3 linked regions of the Neodiprion lecontei genome follow. The protein of the gene in region 3 purifies or fractionates together with the protein of the main gene of each other region. This does not show direct contact. Links are inferred from orthologs where the notes say so. Each region holds a gene or a part of one and is shown on either strand. Other genes may lie near its edges. The genes, in order: xyloside xylosyltransferase 1, protein-L-histidine N-pros-methyltransferase and zinc transporter 1.

Region 1 (7,429 bases), on a different chromosome or scaffold from region 3:
ATCACTCACCTGTTTGCAGTGTTTGCATCTATTTTCTCTCGTGCACGCTGTCTCGCATTTAACGCACCGGATTTCCTGGACCACAGGCTCCGGCATAGACATCAGTGAAGACGGTCCCTGGACGAGGGAAGACGGCTGATCTACGCAGGGCGCAAAGGTCACAACAGGACTCGAGAAGACCAAGTGTTCCAGACTCTCGCCACCAACGTTTCCCATCACTCGCAGAAGATTCTCGATGTACAGGTTCGTTGGAAGGTCACGAGGCACCGATTCGACCACCGTCAACTTGCAAAGCGGGCACTTGATCGTTCTTCCTGCAGGGAATACCATCATACTCAATCACAAAGTTTACGCCGATTAAAGAGTCTGTCGCAATAGTGCCGCCCACCATCGTTTCCCGAGTAGTTAAGCTGCTCCTCCAAGCATTCGAGGCAGAAGGTGTGCTGGCACGGCATCATGCGTGGTGTACGAAGTCGTGCGAGGCAAATGGGACACTGTAGTAGGTCCTCGATCGCCCCAAGGGAAGTTCTGGAATGGTTTAGGAGCATAAGAGAGGTGCAAAGTACGTAGAGATCATTGCGCGTTTTTCGTTAACTTTATAAGCTGTGAGTGTCCGAACCCGTGAGATTTCCTTGAATCGTTGTTCCTGAGTTCCACCGTCGGTTGTTCAATGGCGGATTGACTGGAGTTGAAAACTGGCCGGGACTTGGATGCCTTGGGATCGGGACCCAGGATGAAGTCCGCTGGGAGTTCCGTCATTTCCTGCATTATAGCGCTGGACTCTTCGTGGTTTTCGACCGGTCGAGGATTTGTCGAATCGTGAGAAAGTGGCCTCTTGAATACCGACTTCCACTTCGAAGTCATTCTGGAAACGCCAATCTCTATATCAGATCAAAAACAACAGTACTAGCCAGTAGTCAGCACCACCTCAATCTTATCAATTATGAATTGATTCGGTATCAAGTTATTATCGAAGAAGCATTTTTTCACGTCAACGCGACGAAATGAGAGGCACAATAAACATAATTTAGTATGATGCATTTGTATACTCTGTGACATGCGATAAAATGTGTGAAAAAATTTAGCTGGGTGTTATCCGTACGTACTTTGAATATAATTGATTGTAAATCGTACTGAATTCCTGACTAAGTACTAGGTCAAACCGTATTATGGAAGACTAGAAAAATAAAATATGATAAGGTACGTTTTTTTTTAGAGTATTTTTGTAATCTCTCAAATCGCGCTACCTGCACTCCAAAAATTACGATACTGACATCACGATCCATTTATGGTTTTTGAAGATATACAATCCCAACTCAGAAAGTATAAAAAAGCCAATATTTTCTCTTCCATTGGCGACAATGCAGGAATCTCAAATCGGAATGGAATCGTAAAGTTTAAATTAATCTTACCCGGGATTATTGGCCGCTGTCGGCCACGGGGCGTCTTTTACAGTCGATTTTAATGTACAGCAATAAGGTGAATGTATTACTGTACTGATCCAAAAGTTCTTTCGACGCGGAGGATACTGCTGATATCTCGATAAGCTAGATGTGATGAAAGACCGTCGAAATAACGGGACTGATTGTAACGTCAAAGGAAACGATATTTTCACCACGATAACAACGTTATCAAGTACACTTATATCCACTAATCAGAAGATAACTTAAGAAAAAGTTGCTGTCTGTGTACAAGACAGGTTATCAGATCCAATAATCGATCGTATCACCATACTTTGAGTGTCAGCAACACTTTATACTTGAAAATGCTTTTTCGTGTAATTACCAAACGGGTTTACAAGTGCATGCACACACCATATATAGCGAACGCGCGTGTCAACGCGGTTATATCGGAATATGCGACTTTCGTTTATCAAACAGAATCAAATGCTGCAGTTTAATTCAGTACAGATTTCTTGCGTCAGTCGGTAGATTTAAAAATACAAAGTATATTTGTGTTTGAGATTTTTATATGAAACTGGCTTCGTGATCAAGCAATCGAATTATCGTGGACAGTCGAAGCTTCACAGCAAATTTTGAATTAAAGAAATCTCGAGACTTCCCGCGTCTGAAATTTAATTAATTATTAACTTGCGTGTAAGATTTCAGGTATTTTGGTAGTCGATATCTCTTGATTACAGCGCGTGCAGTGTTAGAGCCATTCGAGTTATTTGTGAATTCAATATTATTAAGGAACAAGCTGCTTTGACAAACTAATAATATTGATCCTAATAAATGATCTGAGCAAACATTTTATGAAAAAGTAGCAAAAAAGTTTCGAATTTCTCTGTTAAAAAATCAATTTGGTTTTTTTGAATTACCTTATAATATTGTAAATACACTTTCTTCTTTACGCGGAACAAAATACCAACAAAAATTATAGATCCTTCTGTGATAAAGGGTGCGTTTTGCTTCCTAATCTTCGAAAATGTTAGAACAAAGCTACTGATTGGCTGATTCTTGTAATATTGATCAATCAGACGAGTCTATCGGTTCTTTCGTTCTCAAAGTGTGCCAAATAACACACATTCAATATCGCTAGGAACGGGAAGGAATTCGAAATTCTTTCAAACTCTCTCGAAGTTCGAGATAAATCGAAAAGCGATAGAATTGATCTTAAACCAGACTCGACGCTCGAACGGTTTGACGTGTCGCCATGTTTGTTTTTCGGTCAGCGGATTGAAAATAATAGAATGTAAGCGATGAGGAGAGGAGCCTATTAACGTATGCAGTTGGAATAAAGTCTGCGATTATCCGTGGCTAATTACCGCGCGATGGTAGTGGAAATAAGGACGTTCATAAATGCATCCTCGCGGGGTGAAATTCGCGTGTGATCTGCGTGTAATAAACACGTACAATTAATGCCAAGCTTGGATTTGGTGGTTAAATGGGTTTGCTACACAAAGTGCTAGTGAATCTGACAGTTCTCGCCGTATTCCTGATAGTCTTTTATTGCTTCCAAACGCCGAGTTCCGCCCCAGCGACATTTTATCGCAATACAGAACCCAGAAATGAACTTGCAAAAACACCGAACGTTTCGTCCGCCGTAGCCCTCGCATCTCGGAAGGAAATAAATGACGAGTACTATAATGTGTGGTGCATATTCACAAAGGTTACGTCAAACTCTCCCCTGAGGAGGAAATTCAAAATATTTACCGCCTCTATGCTCAAACTGACCTCCGTCAACCTCGCTTTTCACGTCATCAGCGATCCAGCTAGTCGCGAAATCGCTGAACCCCTTATTCGGGGAGTCATCGCCACGTCTGGAAAATCTATGAAAGTATGTACTTTTAAGGATGAATAGGATCGACAGTCCGCATCAAAATTCAAGAAAATAGAAAGAACCGTTTGCAAAAATCTCCAGCGATTTCACCTGCGTCGTTACTAGTGATCACGAACGAAGGGAAAATTCTCACTACGCGATAGAAATTATTTTCATCAAATTCAAATAAAATCAGCTAAGATATCAAGAATTTGAGAAAAGGTTTTACTATTTTAACATTCCAAGTGAATAAACTTTGGTGCTTTTGATCCGATTCTAATATTTTGTGGCTTATTTTGTTCACCAAGAAGACCGCCAGAAATTGCTGTAAAAAAATCTATTCCCTAGCTTTCGATTCAGACTGTTGCTGTCATTCATTCTTATATTCATTACACACATCCTCCACTTACGGGATCTTTTCATCTTTGAATTTGTATTTCAGGCAGAAATTCAAGAGTGTAACTTAAAGAGATATGAAATTTCTAGGCGCACTTACACCCCTCGAAAGTTCTATAAATTTGAGTGAACCTTGATTACCCAGTTTTAATTTGTGTAATATTTTCAGGTAACGTACTACGACGTGCATGTGCTGGCTAAACAACTGGAGGATATTGTGTCGACAATGTCGCCGTACTTCAGCAGTAACCCAGGAACCTACTACTCTGACGCGCTCTTCTTTCTTTCTCTTGGACTGCACAGGATAGCGCCAGAGAATCAAAAGAAGGCCGCCATGTTTGATGCGGATACAAAATTTCGAACAGACATCAAAGAGCTATTCGAGGAGTTTAGTAAATTTGGACCTGAAGCCTTGTTCGGCCTAGCACCTGAACTGACTCCCGTCTATCGGCACGTTCTTTATTTATACAGAAGCAAAAACCCTGGCACCTTGTTCGGAGAACCTGCTTACCTAGGCGGTTTTCCAGGGTTTAATAGCGGTATGGTACTTTTCAATTTCGAAAAGTTGCGAGAATCTCTGGAGTACGATAACATACTCAGCATGGACAGCGTCGACCATATGACCCAGAAATATTACTTCAAGGTTTGTACAATCCTGACTGTTTTCACAATTACGTCAAGGTATTTTCGAAATGTTTTTATATCACTTGGCATTGTGAGAAAAGCGTGGAAAGAGAATAAATTTTAGTACCTATTTTATATCGCTCACCTGCTGGGGTGTTTAATTTTTTTCCATATTGGCTCATCTTTGGGAAAAAACATTGCCACACAGTAGGGAAACATTTCGTCGGATTCTCTGAAGCAAATATTTGTCGACATGTTGAATAAATTCTTCAAGCACCTTGAACTCCACAGACATGTGCAACAAAAGTAACAAATGTTTACAACTTTCTATTTCTATTTGATTCTACGTTAATCACTTTGCACGTTATTCAATAATCCAGTTTTGAAAAACGTTGACAAACTTGAATTATCTAATCGCAAGCAACTTGAATAGTCATTCACAGTCGAGGCACACATCTGTGAATATAACTTTCATCTGCTTTATATCTTCGTATCTACACTGATAGTGGGCCATTTTTTCTATACAAATAATAAAATTTGTAAATACATCCAAATTCCGACTGTTCCTAATCCTTCAGGTGGTGGTGTTGTGGTAAATTTTGTTTACGTTACATTGCAAGCTTGTCTCCTAATTTCATTTTGCAGGGTCATTTGGGGGATCAGGATTTCTATACTATTCTGGGTATGGAGCGGCCTGAATTGATCCACAAGGTGGACTGTGGTTGGAACAGGCAGCTGTGCACGTGGTGGGGAGAGCATGGATACTCCGATGTGTTTGCCAACTATTCTCACTGTGATGCAAGAGTCAAACTTTGGCACGGTAATTGCAACACGGCAATTCCTGATGATTAACTGCAATGAGTCAAGCAATTTTAAATAAAATTCAATAACTATTTAAGTATTATGGCAAATGAGATAAAAGTTTGTTATTAAAAATGTATGGACGCACTAGAGATATTTTGTAAAAAAGTAAAACGTAATTATAGTTTATATTATATATATATATATATATATATATATATATATATATATATATATATATATATATATATATATATATATATATATATATATATATATATATATATATATATATATATATATATATATATATATATATATATATATATATATATATATATATTATACATACACACACACACAATCGACTCTGTTTTAACACTTTTTTCCCTATGCTTCATTTCCTTTTCTATATTAGTTGAGGTGTTCTTTTCAACTATCTTGCCTGGTGAAGGTAATATCTTCGTTTTTGCGATTTAAAGTTTTGGAAAATAAGTTTCATCAGGTTACATTTACGTGAATTATTCAATGTTTGATACATCATTTTTGATTAACTTTAATATGACTATCAGTTATAAGATTTATAACTTACATAAATAGATATTACATACAGTTCTTTTTTCTTGTTTTTTTTGTTTTCTTTTTTTTTTCTTTGTTAGTTGTATACAGGCTGAAATGAAATACAGTATCAACATAATAATAAGTTTTCTTTCATCATCATCAACACAATATATTTACAGAAGATAATAGATATGTTTTAATCTTTGCTTTTTAAGGGTGCTGCCTCTTACGTTGACCTTGATCCTGTCAAATCTAATACTACATAGCAAACAATGGCATAATAAACGTGGACACAATCGTATTCATATGTAATTATTACATATAAAGACTATTTATGTGTTTCATGATAACTTCTTAAATTTACACAATGAATCTCATTAGAATCGAAGCATCGAACAAACGATAGTTGCGTAACATATAATCATAATTTCATATCGAAAAGTCTGCTGGATTCGAACATAATAAATCAATGTTTTGCGTTTACTGCCGTGTTTTACAAAGCAATTTTTTGGATTGCAAAATTACAATCGAAGTAAGTATATGCAACTGTTTTCTGTTAATGTTTAAATATAACTGGATCATCGGTTCTAACTAACTAACTACGGATAAATATATGCAATGTTTAGTATAAGTGTTAGTTAAATAATTAAATTGATTATATCACGCATTATGTACGTACGCATCGTGTGGTAATCCTTAAATTAATATATTATACATTCACCATCAATTTTATAGAATTATTGTCAAATGTAACAAAATGACGCTTTGGTAGAACTAAAAAACAAACTATATGTATATCATGTGTATATAATAATAATAGACACTTCATGTGCATGATTGTCCTTTCGTTAAATATAATGTATATAACGGCGAATGTTAATGACCATAAAATAATAACTGAAAATAATAACTCGTACTTTTTTTTAACACACTTTTTTTTCAATGCTTTTTCCCTCCTCGTTTTTCTAGTATAAGTAAATTCTGTCTGGGTACAAAGTTTTACGCTTTTACTTACGTCTTCTCAGTCGTCTTGCGAGCATTATTTTTCGAATAATATCGCTCCAAAGTATCCTATACAGAACATGACTAAATACACACCGTAAAGTAGCACCTAAAGTGGAAATAAATTCACCACGCGTTAATTCAATATTAATTCAATATATATATATATATATATATATATATATATTTTATATATACTACGTACCTGTATATGTATATTATATACACACATGAATTCCTTTACTTTATGATACATACACGTTATATATGCAGATGGAAAGAAATGACTAGTAATCCATATATTTCGAGTTTAGTATAGCTATAATAGATTAGTTTTTGCGTTGTATTAAATGACCATATTCATTCCTTTCCATGTACCGCTTCACCTTACATCGTCCGATTGATTGACTTCGCAATTAACGCCATACTAAATTTATAGAAAATAATTATTCAAAAATAATCCAACTCTATGAAGATTTTTGAAAAATTACGTACACCTGGCTGATAATTGTGAGCAATGTAGCGTTGCAGAATGACTCGCTGGCGTTCGCTTAGCTATGTACAAATCGCGAACTTGAGCCACCACCAATGTTGGTATTCCTTCGTGAAACCTGGTCAACAAGATTATCAACGAATTATTACTCCAAGACGTAATTTACAATCGGATAAATACATGAAAATTAACGATTCTTGAAATTTAATCCGTGAAAAATAAACCCAACAGACATAATGAATGAAATGTGAGAAACCGTTGGTTTAGTCAAAGCTCATCATCCTTGATCTT
Region 2 (7,363 bases), on a different chromosome or scaffold from region 3:
CATCCGGGCGAGGCTCCTCGGGGCCCCGCCGATATATATACGAGTATATAGCACATCTCGAGCCAACCGAATTTCCTGAAAAATCGTCATCCTCGATTCGCCGATGCTGATTTTTATCCGGGTTACGGTGTGCGGCGAAAATTGATTCGTGACAAGGTTTAGGAATTTTTTTTTTTATTCCAAAAAGACGGTTCGGTTACCCAGCAATATGCGTTCCTCGATCAAATTGACTTGGAAAATTACGTGTATGATCGTAGGCAAAGAATTTTGTAAATATAGGTTTAGATGTTGAATATAAATTATGAACAAATTTTATGTAATAGATTACGAAAATTGTAAATATTCCTTTTACTTCTGTTATATAAATTTATAGCAATAACCGAAAAACGTACTATATATTCATTCGTGTATCCATTCAATCATTCGCTCACAAAGTACGTAAATTATCGATCAGCAGGTGAAACAGATTAAAATTGGAAATACATATCGTTTTTCTTTCATTAAAATTGTTTCTCGAACTATTCTTTATTCCTTTTTGAATATTCTCTTTTTCTTCATTCATTTTAAAATAGTCTCTTGTATCAATTTATATTTCTTTCATCGAAGTTTTGTCGTTATAATTTCTTGAATTGTTTTGTTAACAATTATTCACTTATCTTTTACTACCAGCTAAGCAGATCAATCGATGGTATCCGTGATCGCGACAGGTTCGTTGAACCGTAGATTCATGTAATTATATTGTTGAAGATACCACACATAGTTGATGTTTTATACATCTCTGATTTGATTATGTAAAACGGAATCTTCGGATTAGTCAATTATTTTACACGTTATCGAAGTTAAATTCTATAGGAAGAAAACGAAAATAAAAGACACGTATTAGGAAAAGCAATTTTGCACGTGGTGCTCTGACGATAGTTTCGCAGTGAGAGGTGTAAATCCAAGAAGGTGGACACCACGTGATGTACAAATAGGTTCAATGTCAACTCACAGTACTTGTTTTGGTTTGAGGTGGGGATATTTGAATCGTTGCAACTTCAAACTGAATTACATAATCAAAACCGGATATAAACAGTATTTTTCTCAAGAATTCAAGGATATTTTTTGCTATTTTAAAAATCATTGGCCCTGTGGTTGTGTTTTTTTAATTTTTTTTTTTTTAAATAAACTTGTCACCACACGCACGCGTCAAAAAGTTTGCAAAGCTGCAAGATTTCATTTCCAGCCGCAAACATTGACGGATAATTCTTTGATACGATTGGCAAAAATAAATTATACTACTACGATTATGCTTCGTATCCGATAGCACGTAATGTGATACAAGATTGTGTCAACGGGCTTTTACGTACGTAGAATACAAACTTACACACACGAGTGAATATCGGGGCCCGTAGAAGTCGGAGCGTTCTGTACCGGGATATATCGAGAAACGAGCAAGCAGACAGCTTTACTGCATGATCATTAATTACCGCTTATCGAACGTCTAACCCGTAACGGTCTCGAGTAAGGGTTTAGCCTAATCCCGAAACGGTGCAAAGTGCGTGTTATATCGTCGTTAGCTCCGGATCCCAAGTAAATATAAAACATCGAATATATACATATATATATATATATATAGATATCTAATTATCACGATCGGAGTTTGGGATGAAGAATATTCCCCGCATCGTCAATTTATATCGCGATTAGAGCCAGTTAAAAATTGTTCTTTCTTTTACTCCGTCGATGAAGAACCGTTTAAGCAGATGGATGCATATCCCCATGCAAATGCCGTTGTAGTGTAAGAAATCTGCGAAATAGTCCAGTGTTTTTAACCGGATTTTGCGAGTATCGATAGGAGCAGAAAAGTCCGCGCAAGCTACGCACATCGGTTGAAGAACATGATAAAAAAAAACGTATTTTTATAAAATTGAATTCGGGTATCCTGACATTTAAATTTCCTGCGACCGGATGTCGCTGATCGTGAGTTCCAATGAAATGATAAATACACCCAGAGACCCAATTCGAGCCCGGGTAACGGGTACAGCTCAAGTGTCTACATCAGAGACACAGAGACGCTGAATCCCTCGCCCGGGGCTCGATCAGAAACTTGATATTCTTTGCAGGCGCAAGCTCTCTTCTCGATCTGATGTGATGCGATGTGATGTGCTGCTACCGACCCGTAGCCCGGCGGTGCAGCGGGGGATGTATTTTCGCGTGAACTGCTTCGTTATATACGGGAAGGTTGTATAAGGCAAGGCGAGGAAAGGCAAGGAAAGGCAAGGCACACACGGCGCGCGAGCAAAGGAGCCGTCACGGTTAGTTAGACTTTGCAGTTTGCAATCGAGGCCGCCGCGCGATTCCCCGACTCCCGCTAATTTTCTCCTATTTCGATTTTTCCCTCTTTATTTCCCTCATCGAAGAATGGCTTTCCTCGGTGCGTCGGTAACGCGCGTTCTACGTATAGAGGAGCGCACCACACGTGCAAGAGCTTTGGCTCGGTGCAAATTGGAAAGTCTTTACTCCAAGCCTTGCAGCGGGTAATTATAAATAGGCTGGGAGTCCGAGAGGCCCGCAGCGCAAGCAGCGGCGAGAGATGTTTCAGGAATATCGACGACGTAATTACGCATAATTACCGCTCCGGAGCCTCTGGAGGGCACACAAGACAGGCAGGTAAGCCCGGCCGCCTCTTATTCTTATTCTCATTCTCATTCTCGCTATTTCTCTCCTGCTCTTTCTCCGCGGATACATACATCCGTAACCTCACGCAGGGCGTAGGACGCGCCGCGTCGGGGAACCGGTGGTTGGCCTTGTACGATAATTGTACTAATTATTACCGGCGTGCCTCCTTCCCTCCCCCCCCCGCCCCCCCATTCCACCTTCCACCTTCCAACTTCCACCTTCCCGCCGGCTCCTCGCCGTTCGCAAATCCTCGCCTCTTTTAAAATCGAATCTTTTCCTCCAACAACCGCTGCACGCGCGCCCTCGACTCTTTCGGACATTGTTATTATTCTTACTCCTTTTTTGTTCTCCTTCTATTTTATCGTTTTTTTCTCTCAAACATCTCTCGTTCCCCACGGCCACAGCGAATTCGACGTCTCGTTCGCACGCGGTCGAATTCGGAAATCGAGCCGCCGAAATTATCCTTTCCCCGAGAAACACCCGACAAATCGAGCGCGAATAATTCAACTCATTGTGTTCGAAATTCAAACATTTGGATTACAGGAGCGCGCCTGCGGCCCTGTGACAGTTGACGCAGGACGCTGTGAACGAACACACACGCACGCTCACGCACACATTCGATCGACCCTATCTCACACCTAGTCGAACCACTCGGTTCTACGAGGAAAGCGCGGGGCTGCGCGCGCACGCGCAGACGGACGGGAATTTCCGAAGCTTTGCGATCGTTCCTCCGTAAGAACGGGGCATCTTAAAATTCCGAGGTTACTCGGTTCGCTCGGTTTTGACTCCTCACCTGGGTTTTGTCGTAGACGCGAAGTCGCTCGTCCGCCTTCTGCTTGTCGTATATCATCCGCGCGATTCCGCCCCGGGGTCGGTAACTCTTCATGACTGCGCCGCTTCCTCGGTCCGATGACAACGCGGCTGTGGGTCCTTGGGCGGCTGCCAAGGCTAGTAGAATCGCGTAAATGTGTCCCATTCGCGGGGTGGCTCCGTACTGACACTGTCCACGCGCCCTCTGCACCTGGCCATCCTGGCCGCGACTTGGCTTATCCGGATTTATCTAAATACCGAAGGACACGGGCCGGATCCGCGTTCTATCACTCTACGGAAGACCGTTCTCCTCGTCGGCACGTGGCCATGTTGACAGATTAACCGCCATCTCACGCTGTAGCCTGCACCCACAGCGCCGCGGCGATTTATGCTCCGTCGGTAATCCAGGGGTCCGGTGCATTACCGACCGCTGTAGGATTCCCGAGTTTGAATCACGCGCGGCACCGACACGATGTTACTCGCTTTGTATTCCCGTTTTTGCACCTTTGTGAAGACGGATCGAGCTATCGTGTCGTTGTTTGAGGTTTTGAGAAGCCGTTTACAAGGAGAAAGTCGCGTTTTTTATACTTGTCCCGAAATTTCATTGCGACATTAATTGTAAGGTAAACCTTAAGGGCCCAATTAGATACTTGGTCGTACTTACAGATACGAGCTGGGAAATGTTATGAGATACGCTAAGATTAGTGGTGTTAAAATGGGTAAAACAAGAATATTTTCGCCGCAAGTTTTTCTTGTATCGAAATTGTATGTAATAATTGTAATTGAACACTGACTCAAGAGGCAGTGGTGCGAGAAAATTAAAGAACCGATCTGAAAATCGATCAATTATATTTATATCTCCGATTTTGCGAATCGATATATTGGATGGAAATAGCATCGGTTCCTCATAATCGACAAAACATTTAACTGAAACAAACGAGCTATTTATTGACAGCGTTAATACTATTATTCAGTGTACCATTGTTGGCAACAAATAAACGTTATTTTGAAGTATTCTACTACTTTTTCCACGTAATCAGAAAATGATGATAGCAAATGACTTTGTTTCATGAATTACGAGAAAATAACATTACATTTTTACAGGAAATTGTTCTTAAATGACTCCCATCGTCATAACTAATCGATTCGTATAGAAAAAGAATCGATTCGATAATAATCGAATTTCTGAAAACTCGAATAATAATCGATTAATCTAACGCCACAATAATCGATACCTTAAGATCATCAAATAATTTTGCATCACTATTAAAAAGTCGAGGAACAGTCTTGCGTTTCTCAAAGTAGGCATACCTCTAACTACGCAGTACATATATTGAATTCCATCATAATTTTTCTTGAGGTGTTTTCAAGCGGTCCATTAATATTTTTCAACGAGGTCATCAGCCAAGGTACGACGTCTGCTCCCGTGCAACGCGTCGCCTCCCCTTTAACCGAAATCCCGAGGGAGCGTGCCGCGGACGAGGGAGAAAGTTTTATGCTTTCCTTATTGCAGTTCACGGTAGCCGGAAAAATTTTTCCATTTTTACTCGTTCTTTTTTCCCGACTCGCGTGCGATGCGAGGCCATTAAATTTTTTTCAATTCATCGTCTGTACTTTTTAACCCCCAATTTTCCTCCTCGCATTACCGATAATAGCTAGGATTGAGGATAATCAAACCACGTTGGATCTCACAAAACTTTCTATGTAGAATACAGTTTGTTTTCACTCGATATTTCTCTTGTCAGTGAATTAACGGACAAAATGAGCCGTTTCGTCAATCAAGGACACTGAGAAAAAAGTTTATTATTCACTGTTGAAAAACGTATGCTTGGATACGAGGAAACAAATGTTTCGTTATTATTATCAAATTTCAGTCGAGCCAAATAATGATCGATAGAAACTTGTTAATGGTTTAAAAATCATACTTGGCTCGACTAAAATTTGATGATAATAACTAAACGTTTATTTCGCCATATCCAAATATACGTTTGGTGAAACAAAATAAATTGTTTTCTCAGTGGAGATTCGAAAAGTGGCGCGAAACTAAGAGAGGTTCGTTCGAAACAAGGGCGTTAGGCCTCGGCGATGTTGTTTTGGCTAGAGGGGTCCTCTCGCCTTGGGGACGGGGACAAGCTGCGCTTTGGTAATTAACGGCTTGGCCCGCGTGAAATTGGCCAACAATGGGCGAGGGGATGGCGTCTACTGTTTCAGTCGGCGTCTTGGGCGTCGTTCGAAAATAAGAGCATGCAACGAGCGTAGACATACGCCCGAACGTCATTCGAGAGGCAGTTAAATGTACCGGGTGGCGTAAAGGCCGCCAGGTACGTGCGCACGACGCGTGTGGGTTATGTAGAACCTGCGGCGACTCCGAGAAATAAGTGAGTATTATATTCTGGATTCTACCGCGTGCGGGTTAATTTACGGACGACCTTGATTCGCCCCCTCCATTGCGCTCCGAAAGAGACGAGGGAGAGAGAGCGAAAGGAGAGAGGGTGAGGAGGGACGAGGAGGTGAAGGAACGCTTCCGAGGTGAAGTGTACGAAGTACTTCCCCTTGGCTTCAGACGTGGACTAAAAAACAACTTCTCATAATTACTCAAGAATGCTGCGTAATTACTCAGAAATTCGATCGTAATTTCTCCATAGGTATAGGCTTTTTCGGCGGTCGGTCAGTTGGTATTACGTAGGTAGGTATAGGCGCGTGAGAAATTATACTGGGAAATTCTCACGCACCAATTATGCGTTCGGAGGATGAAACAAAAAAGATTTTAAAAAATCACGTCTTAGTTATATTCATCGGAGAAGCGAATCATGCGATTTACTACAGGAATTTTCTCGGCATCTTACCTACTCGTTACTTCTTGTCAGAGATTTTGTTTCTTTTCTCCTATCATCGCGAAGAATAAAATTGTTAGAATTTACGTGAGCGTAGTGTTTATTTTGTCAACCGTGTAAGATTTTTTGCGGTTACCACGGGTTTTCGATGAAGCTCTAGAAGCACCTTGAATAATGGTGCACTTTGTCATATTTTGTGACCGACGTTTGGCGTTCCTACGTTTGAGAAGCGATGAGGAAGAATTTGGCGAAAATGTAATGGGGAAGAAATGAGATTCGTTAATTTCAAGCCTGCACCCTCGAATTAACGGTCAAAGATGGCAATAACTGAAACGTGCCATGTAGCGGCAATTTAGGGTTATCGTTTGTTTATTTCCGGGTGCAACGAAGGATGTAATAAAAATGAGCGAAGTGTAACGAAGAAGCTTAATGGGATTCTTGAGTGATGAATATTTCAGAAGTCGTTGTATCGATGCTGTCGTTCCCCGCCCCGAATCCTCCGAGCGGGCATCAACCCCCTGGAGCAACCAGCTCCGGCCACCCTCGCGGCGCCGTCTCGCGTTCCCGTAATGATAATTCATTAATTTATGATAAGCTGCGCGTCTCTCCCCCTCCCCATAAATCATTTTCGTCCCTGACGTTAATTGCCAGTCGTCCCCCGCCGCCTCCGCCCAATTTTTCTCCCTCTCGTTACCGCGAGAAATGAGATTTTTTTTTTAATTGGTGAATTTTTCACCGCTGCTGACACCTCGATCGGCCTAACGTAGGTATATATGTGTACATACAGGTATATAAAAGTCTTCTTCGTTTTTAGTCGCGAATCTTGAATGCATAAACGCCCGGCAGAAATATCACCTGCGTTTTTCACTCGGTACCGCGGCACTCGAAATCGAGCTCAACGCGCGCATTGTATTAGGCGATGTGTGCTTGCTTCGGATCCTCGGCCTCGTGATGTGTTTGGGCTAGCTTCGAAACCCTAAGACCAAACACAGCCTCGGGTCCGGCTTCCTCCGACTACACAGGCTCGATTATGCAGTCGCCTCGATGGTCGTTACAGC
Region 3 (7,256 bases):
CCACAAATTTTATAAAAAAAATTTCACATTTCCAAATTTTCCAGGACCTAGGACCCAGTTTTCCCTGACATTTTCCCAGTTCTAGTAAGGTACTAAAACCTAAATCGTTCAGCTTATTAACTCAATATTTAGTTCAAATTCAATTCAAATTGAAAAAAAATATAATGTACAAAAAATTCAATTTAAGCCAATTCTTTTTCTCAACGTAAAAAAATGATTTCTAATTGCCATGGTATAAAAGTAATGTTTTCAGTTTCTTTCATGAACGAAGAAAAATTCCCTGACAATTCCCAGTTTTCGATGACTCCTTTTAAATTCCCTGATATCTCCAGGTTTTTCAGGTTTTCCAGTTGCGTGGCCACCCTATGTTACTGTTTAGTGAATTTCGAATAATTGTAAAATTTTAAAATAACGAGTTATTCTAAAAAAAAAGTCATCGCTGTCATGTTGCTATCATCAACTTCATTTAATTCAAGTTTAGTTCCCCTAACTACCAGTCAATCGCTCTGGTTTCAATGAGACCAAAAATAAAACAAAGCACTCATAGTTATTATTGGCTATCAATTGTATGCGGAGCGTCTTGATCGCAACCTTACTGTAAGTATGCAGCAATTGATCGGAGTATCCAATTGATTATAATAACAAAGCATTGTTTGAAATAAATGTTTTATCACAAATTTATACAGCTCAACAGTTGACTGTGTATTGTAAAAATGTCGGTAGCAGCTTGCAAGCACATATGTCGCATGTGAATATTTATATTTAAGTATAAATAGAACAGAAATGCGAAGTGCCACGTTCAATTTGTGCCGACATCAGCGAGTAATTTGAGTTCAACAGTCAGATTTCATGAATTTTTCAGCAATAATCAGTAGCTGGTTTTCTTACCTTCACCGAGAGGAATGCCACTACTAGAGCAAGCCCATCCGACAGCATGTGAAAACTGTCAGCTATTAAAGCCATCGAGTTGGTGAAATAGCCAAAACCTATTTCTACCAAAAAGAAGATAAAAGTGAGCCACAGCATTGTTAGCAGTCGACATTTTTTCCCAGTATAACGGCCCATTGTTGTTATTAAATGCTGGAAAAAAGTATGAAACCAGTATTATTTATCAATTTCAGATATCTTAATTTCAGGATAAGTATGGTTCAACACTATTTATTTAAATAGCAGCTAACTTTGGACAAGGTTGAAGTTTGTAACTTTAATTTAACAATATATTTTTCAAAAAGCACATTACTTTTCAACTTCAGTCTTGTCTGAAGTTTAGTAAACTGTGATAAAGTATTAACACACTTAGAATTTGCACATTCTACGCTTTCAAAGTTATTCTGAGGCAGAAAAATTCTGATTTTCCTTTCAGTGTTCATTGCGTCAAGGTCACTAACCTCAACCTTGTGACTTTCGTTAGATTTGAATACATGAATACACAGCTTATAGGGAATCCTTGTATTTAAATAAATATCAACTGCTGGGCTTTACCAGCATATTTGATTTATGATCAATTGAGTACTGACACAATGAGACCATGTAAGTTTTAATCAGTGCTCTAAATAATCAAGCTCATATCTTCATTAAAAATTTTATCAAGACCTACGTACTTGTCACAATTGCACATAACCGACTAACACCTTAATACAAACTGGAGTTTCTACCAACTGGTGAAAGCTAAGAAGCATAATGACTGTACATAGTTATACAGGGTCATTTTTTCGTTGCTGAAAATAAGTATGACTAACGCAACCGTTCCAGCTAGGACCTGCAGAAGCAGCTCTCTCTCACTGAAGGGTCGTAATCAGCAACGAAAAAATGACCCTGTGCATTACATGTATGTTGGAAAGTATCAAAGGCTGGTTCTTTGTTCCGTTCGTTATATTATTTTTAGTGATAATCCAGGACTTCTATAAATATTTCAGCCGACCACAGTCATGTGATGTTGGAATGGAAATAAGAGATCAAAGATTCGAACTCTGGATCAAGAAATATAAAAAATGCTAAGCTTCTCAAGCTCAAATATTCAAATCTCATGTGTTATATATTTTCCAGAGATTTCTGTGCCGTATTATGTACAATATCTCTGCTGAGATGTGGATTACAGCAAAATCAACATACAGATGAAGTTTGTTAATACAGTAGGAGCTACTTCAATTTTTTCTGACCTCAAAATTATTATCTGCATTTGAGAATTGTAACCCAGTATCTTCAGAAGTAATACAGATCTGAGAAGATTAGTGAATTAGCGATATTGTGATATGCCGTCGAATATACATTAGGAATCTGTACCAGAAGCTTTGATCGATCGAGCTTGATCAAAAGTTCAGCTAATCACCAATACCAAGTTCTTATGGTAAGATTATGGTAATTAAGTAAATATAGGTCAGCACATAATTTAACATCAAGCTAACTTACCAAGATTCATTCACCACATAAGAACTTGTTATCAAAACTCAGTATGAGTGACAAATTGGGTTTTCAATCAAGCTTGATCGATCAAAACTTTGGAAGCAATTGGATATATATTTAATTCAATTATTTGATGCTTTCATATACAGATGATATCAATTCGATTTAATTTAGAATATACCTGATCAAATAATCATCAAACATTGTTATACATACAATTTTAGATGACGATTAGCAGAATGGACAAAGGTCAACGTCTGCTATTGTTAAATACATGTGATGTCCGATTACACATCCAGTTATCACAATGACACATATTCAAACAATTAAATTAGTGATTAGAGGTGATGGGTAAGACTAACGAGCGCGTGGAATTGGTGACGTAGAAATGTAGGTCATGACATAGACGATTATCAGACTGTAATCAGCACCTACTTACAGAGTATATGCTCGTGCAATCTTAGATACTAATAGATAGCTGAGAAATACACAGAATCTAATTTAAAATCGAACTTAGCCTTTTGACGCAGTTAATTAAATAAGTTGATTTTAATTGCTGTATAAAAGTTGGCATGCAATCTAAACTAGGTAATTATTTTTTTATCAACAACTTACAGGCACAGATGGAGACAATCATCATAAAGAAAAGAAGGAATGATTCATAGGAGTGAAGGGGTACGTATGAATCACTACATGAGACGCAAAATAATGGCACATGCCGGATTTATTTTTATGTTATTAGTTTGGAAAACGTTAGTGGAAATCCAATTGAAAACACTACTCATTTTCAACTGACGATATGAAATAATAATGTTGTAACGACAGATATTTTGTTGCACACTCACCTTGAAGAATTATTTGTAATTTGTAAAATTATTTCAACTATAAGGTACTAGTATAAAATGATGGAGTTGAAAAACTTTGCCCACAAAATGTAGTATCCAAACATGATATATTCACGGGACTCATTTATTGGTTAAAGTACAAAATACTTTTTTTTAGTAAAAAACACATTAAACTCTATGAAGAGCAATTTAAAACACTACATTCAATCCATTGTTGGACACCCAACGAGGATAGAAAATAAACCGCAATACATCAATGGTAACTCACAGCCAACTGAATTCTGAAACTCGGTGAGAAAATTCAGTGCCGCTTATGTGTTCACAAAGTATTCGTGAAATTCGCAGCGTCAAGCTCATGACACGCATGCATACATCACAAATTTTCTGTTTACTGTTCTACCGTTCTGTCGATGAATTCAACACAAGCTCGAACCTTGTTGATATAAGAATAAAACTAATAGCGTTGCGTAATTTATTCATCGGGCGAATATAATTAAACAACTATTGACGCTAACTGTATTTGAGACTGATCTCCTTTATAAGCTGCGTATGATGCCAGCTGTAATTTCTTCTTCTCGTTTATGTCGACTTCAAAATTTTGATATCCACGTGACTTACCAATCTGTCGAGACCTGTGCCTGGTCCACCGATGTAGATTTTAAGTGTTGTGCTCAAGTTTTATCTTGCATTTTTTTTCTTTTGAACGTGTATAAACAAGCCAAGGCCAATATTTAAACTTGTTAAATATTCAAGACGATAATGTTACTCATACTCACGAATAATGTTGAATAAATTTTCATTCAAGATATTGGGCACGATAGGTACTTTATTACAATACGGGTGCGTAACTCACTGTGCGTTAGAATACGTCGGTGATTTTGTCGTGGTAAGTTGTTTTTATAACTACTGTTATCTGCAAATGCGTCCATTATATCATTATAATCTGACACTACTAATGTTACTTTGAGGTTAGAGTTTATCCGTTGAACCTCTGCCGATATCTAGAATTACCGCACGCAATAACGATTGGTCCTAAATGAAGTATCGTCGCTCAAGTCCTACTCTGCCGACCGCGCAAAACAGATGTCACCAGTCTTCGTCTAAATAGATTTTTGCCGCGATAATTCGTATCATTCTAAACTACAAGAAGTTGTCGTTGTCTTCGACTTTTCGATGTTTTGTAATTTGGAATCGAATCATAAACAAGCTGTGGTAAAACATCAAATGGGAATAATGTGTTCTTTATATAAATATCGACAGCCTATGAAGTGATAGTCCTGAGTCACCATGTATATAATAACTTTCTCATTATCTATTTCTTGACTTTTAACTCGATGATACATGCAAATTATCTTGCCTTCCTATTGTGGTTCACTTCTTTTCCCCTACATTTTATTTTCTCATTTTACTAATTTGTTTTTCTTTCTAAGTAATTGTTGTCTCGTATTTCAGTGTACAGGGCCTTCCATGGAGCCAACAATTTACAGTAACGATGTACTACTAACGGAGCACGTATCACCGCGACTACAACGTATACACAGAGGAGATATAGTTATCGCAAAATGCCCATCGAACCCATGTCAACACATTTGCAAACGGGTGACTGGTGTCCCAGGAGACAAAATACATGACGGCTTTTCAACTTACATCGTGAGTTCTGTGTTGTTGACATGCCAATGCTCACGCAACACGTTAAAAAATGTACACGCGAGCGGCAAAATGTTAAAAAGTTGGACGTATTAAAGAAATTTTAAAAAATATGACGAACCTGGGGAGTTACTGCTCTTTGAATAATTTTGTATTTTTTGAGAACAGAAATCCGAGCGCTCATCGGAATAATGAAGAGCGTCGACGACGCATGGCTCGTATTATACGTGTTTGTTGTTTACTGTTTTCAGGTACCTATTGGTCATGTTTGGCTCGAAGGTGATAATAGCAACAATTCATCGGATTCTCGTATGTACGGCCCCGTTCCACAGGCCCTGTTACGAGGTCGTGCAATGTGCAAAGTTTGGCCGCCCAGCAATATTACCGTGTTCACGACGAATTACGCCCACCACAAGTGAAACATGTACCTAACTAATACAAGCAAATAGTGCAGTGTATTCGTTACCTAGATTACTTGTATTCATTTCATATTTTTCTGCACCGAACATTACTGGCCATTATATAATGCATATATTCCACGGTAGCAGTAATTGTGCATAAGATGTATGCAATTTAGAAGTAAAAATATGTTTCTTAAATCTTTGTTATCTATCCTTCCCTAATCTTCTACATTTTCTTACAGAAAAATAAACAGATAACCGTTTTGTTAGACTTAAATACTTATAAGGAGTATCTAGAGCAAAAATTAGCTGATAGTTGGTTCAGCTTGTCTCAATCTGGTGTTATTTACTTATGTGATTCACCAACGGAATCACGTTAATTTTACTAACATTCGAAGTTACTGAATATGATCGTTTTATGATTTAGAATGATCTGCACTGCTCGTAATTTCGTGTATTCTGAATTATCTGGAGTCTCAATTGGTTCTGCGTTTAATTTAGTTCCTTTTTCTCTGGTGTCTAAAAATGATTCAACGTTACAGCAGTCTGATTTGAAATAATCTTCAATAGCGGAATGAGTTTCTGGAAAAGACTCCTGATTGACCGGTGGCTACATCAGTGCAAGACGATTGGGCTTGAAGGGGCCAGCTACGTGTGGGTTGAAGTTAAAGAAATAAACTTAACAATGAAGACAATACATACTACATAGCATTACACGAATGTAAGTTCGGTTGCGAAATAACTAATGGTATGTTGGTGCCAGAGGTGCCAGACCACTGCACTCTGAAGTGGTAGATATGGTAATTGCACGTCGATAAGCTGCGGTACAGAGAGAGTACCGCAGTAATTATCGGCTGGTACGAAACTTCCGAAAATAAGAATCTTCAGTCAACTTACAATGTATCCAAATCTCCCATTTCTTTTGTACATATTTCTAATGAGTACTTCTAAATTACAGATAATGATTTCAATTGAAATAATTGATGTGAGAATATCACATTGCGTTAACTGAAGATCATAATCTTCAGTCAATGCATATTGCAATGATGATTAATTTGTGAACATTTGAAATAATAACGCAGTACTATGATACGAAATAAATATACATTAGTCAGTAGAACAGTGAGTCTAACACATCGAATGCGAGATAAGGAAGCAGATTAATGTAGCTTATCTCGAAACGGCATTTTTCTTTAAAAATAACAGAGCCAAATACGATGACAGCTTAAATATATATGCGGTAGGTCAAGATTCAGAGAAAACCCACTCTTCAATATAGCGGCCAAACAAATTCCATTTATCGCAAAGACAGTAAACAGTGTGGATAATTACTTTCAAAAAATGTAATGTTAAGACATGGGTGCATGTAAATCAGTGTTGAGGATCCATTAAAATGAAGGTCGCAGCGTGTTGCGGAATTATAAAAAGACGACACCGAGAATACGTCTCGGAGTCGGATTCCAATTTATTTCAAACTCCGACCAAAGAACGTAACAAATAAAACAACGATCTACCTACAGTGTGGAAATACTCTACTGTTTATTCACTTTATCTGATAATCTGAAGCGAAACCAGGATATTTTGTGACTTTATCCTCGGTTGGAAAAGTGGCCAACGTCTTTTGGTCACGCATCAAACGACAACGAATGGGCTTTCGAGAATTTTGGTCTAACAATTTGATTGGCTACTGAATGGCTTTAAGGAATAACTCAGTCACGGCAAAAGGTTTACCCATGAAAGAGGCGGCGAATTATCTTTACTTGGGCGCATCACAATTTCCGAAACGTGTACTAATATTAAATGCATTTTTAATATTCTTGTATATTTTTTGTTAACGTCGATGGCTCTAAAGTAGCTTTGGGCTGAGCTATATTTCTTCATACAGTAAATTCATTCAATGTCAAGGACATGTGTCAAGGATAAAACGAGGCACCGCACAAACGAAGAGCGCTTCTTATAA

The links.
Region 1: the proteins of zinc transporter 1 (region 3) and xyloside xylosyltransferase 1 purify together in Homo sapiens (co-immunoprecipitation; 3 studies listed by BioGRID and IntAct, with this or other methods). This does not show direct contact. The link is inferred for Neodiprion lecontei from reciprocal best matches to the Homo sapiens genes SLC30A1 and XXYLT1.
Region 2: the proteins of zinc transporter 1 (region 3) and protein-L-histidine N-pros-methyltransferase purify together in Homo sapiens (co-immunoprecipitation; 3 studies listed by BioGRID and IntAct, with this or other methods). This does not show direct contact. The link is inferred for Neodiprion lecontei from reciprocal best matches to the Homo sapiens genes SLC30A1 and METTL9.

The regions. Positions count from the first base shown.
Region 1 is NC_060263.1:38,560,517-38,567,945, forward strand, and holds xyloside xylosyltransferase 1, read left to right. Parts: upstream 1-2,644; 5' UTR 2,645-2,886; coding exon 2,887-3,279; intron 3,280-3,826; coding exon 3,827-4,300; intron 4,301-4,426; coding exon of another isoform or gene 4,427-4,536; exon of another isoform or gene 4,537-4,926; coding exon 4,927-5,133; 3' UTR 5,134-5,279; downstream 5,280-7,429. Other genes in the region: tripartite motif-containing protein 2, read right to left, coding at 10-314, 389-528, 620-865, 4,427-4,536; mucin-5AC, read right to left, coding at 7,197-7,256. UniProt on the Homo sapiens protein: Alpha-1,3-xylosyltransferase, which elongates the O-linked xylose-glucose disaccharide attached to EGF-like repeats in the extracellular domain of target proteins by catalyzing the addition of the second xylose.
Region 2 is NC_060262.1:21,742,457-21,749,819, reverse strand, and holds the start of protein-L-histidine N-pros-methyltransferase, read right to left. Parts: upstream 3,815-7,363; 5' UTR 3,638-3,814; coding exon 3,455-3,637; intron 1-3,454. UniProt on the Homo sapiens protein: Protein-histidine N-methyltransferase that specifically catalyzes 1-methylhistidine (pros-methylhistidine) methylation of target proteins.
Region 3 is NC_060265.1:6,758,632-6,765,887, forward strand, and holds the start of zinc transporter 1, read right to left. Parts: upstream 4,240-7,256; 5' UTR 4,135-4,239; coding exon of another isoform or gene 4,030-4,134; exon of another isoform or gene 3,867-4,029; intron 3,530-3,866; exon of another isoform or gene 3,249-3,529; intron 3,092-3,248; exon of another isoform or gene 3,079-3,091; coding exon of another isoform or gene 3,058-3,078; exon of another isoform or gene 2,976-3,057; intron 1,081-2,975; 5' UTR 1,066-1,080; coding exon 889-1,065; intron 1-888. Other genes in the region: mitochondrial inner membrane protease subunit 1, read left to right, coding at 4,030-4,134, 4,701-4,898, 5,147-5,314. UniProt on the Homo sapiens protein: Zinc ion:proton antiporter that could function at the plasma membrane mediating zinc efflux from cells against its electrochemical gradient protecting them from intracellular zinc accumulation and toxicity.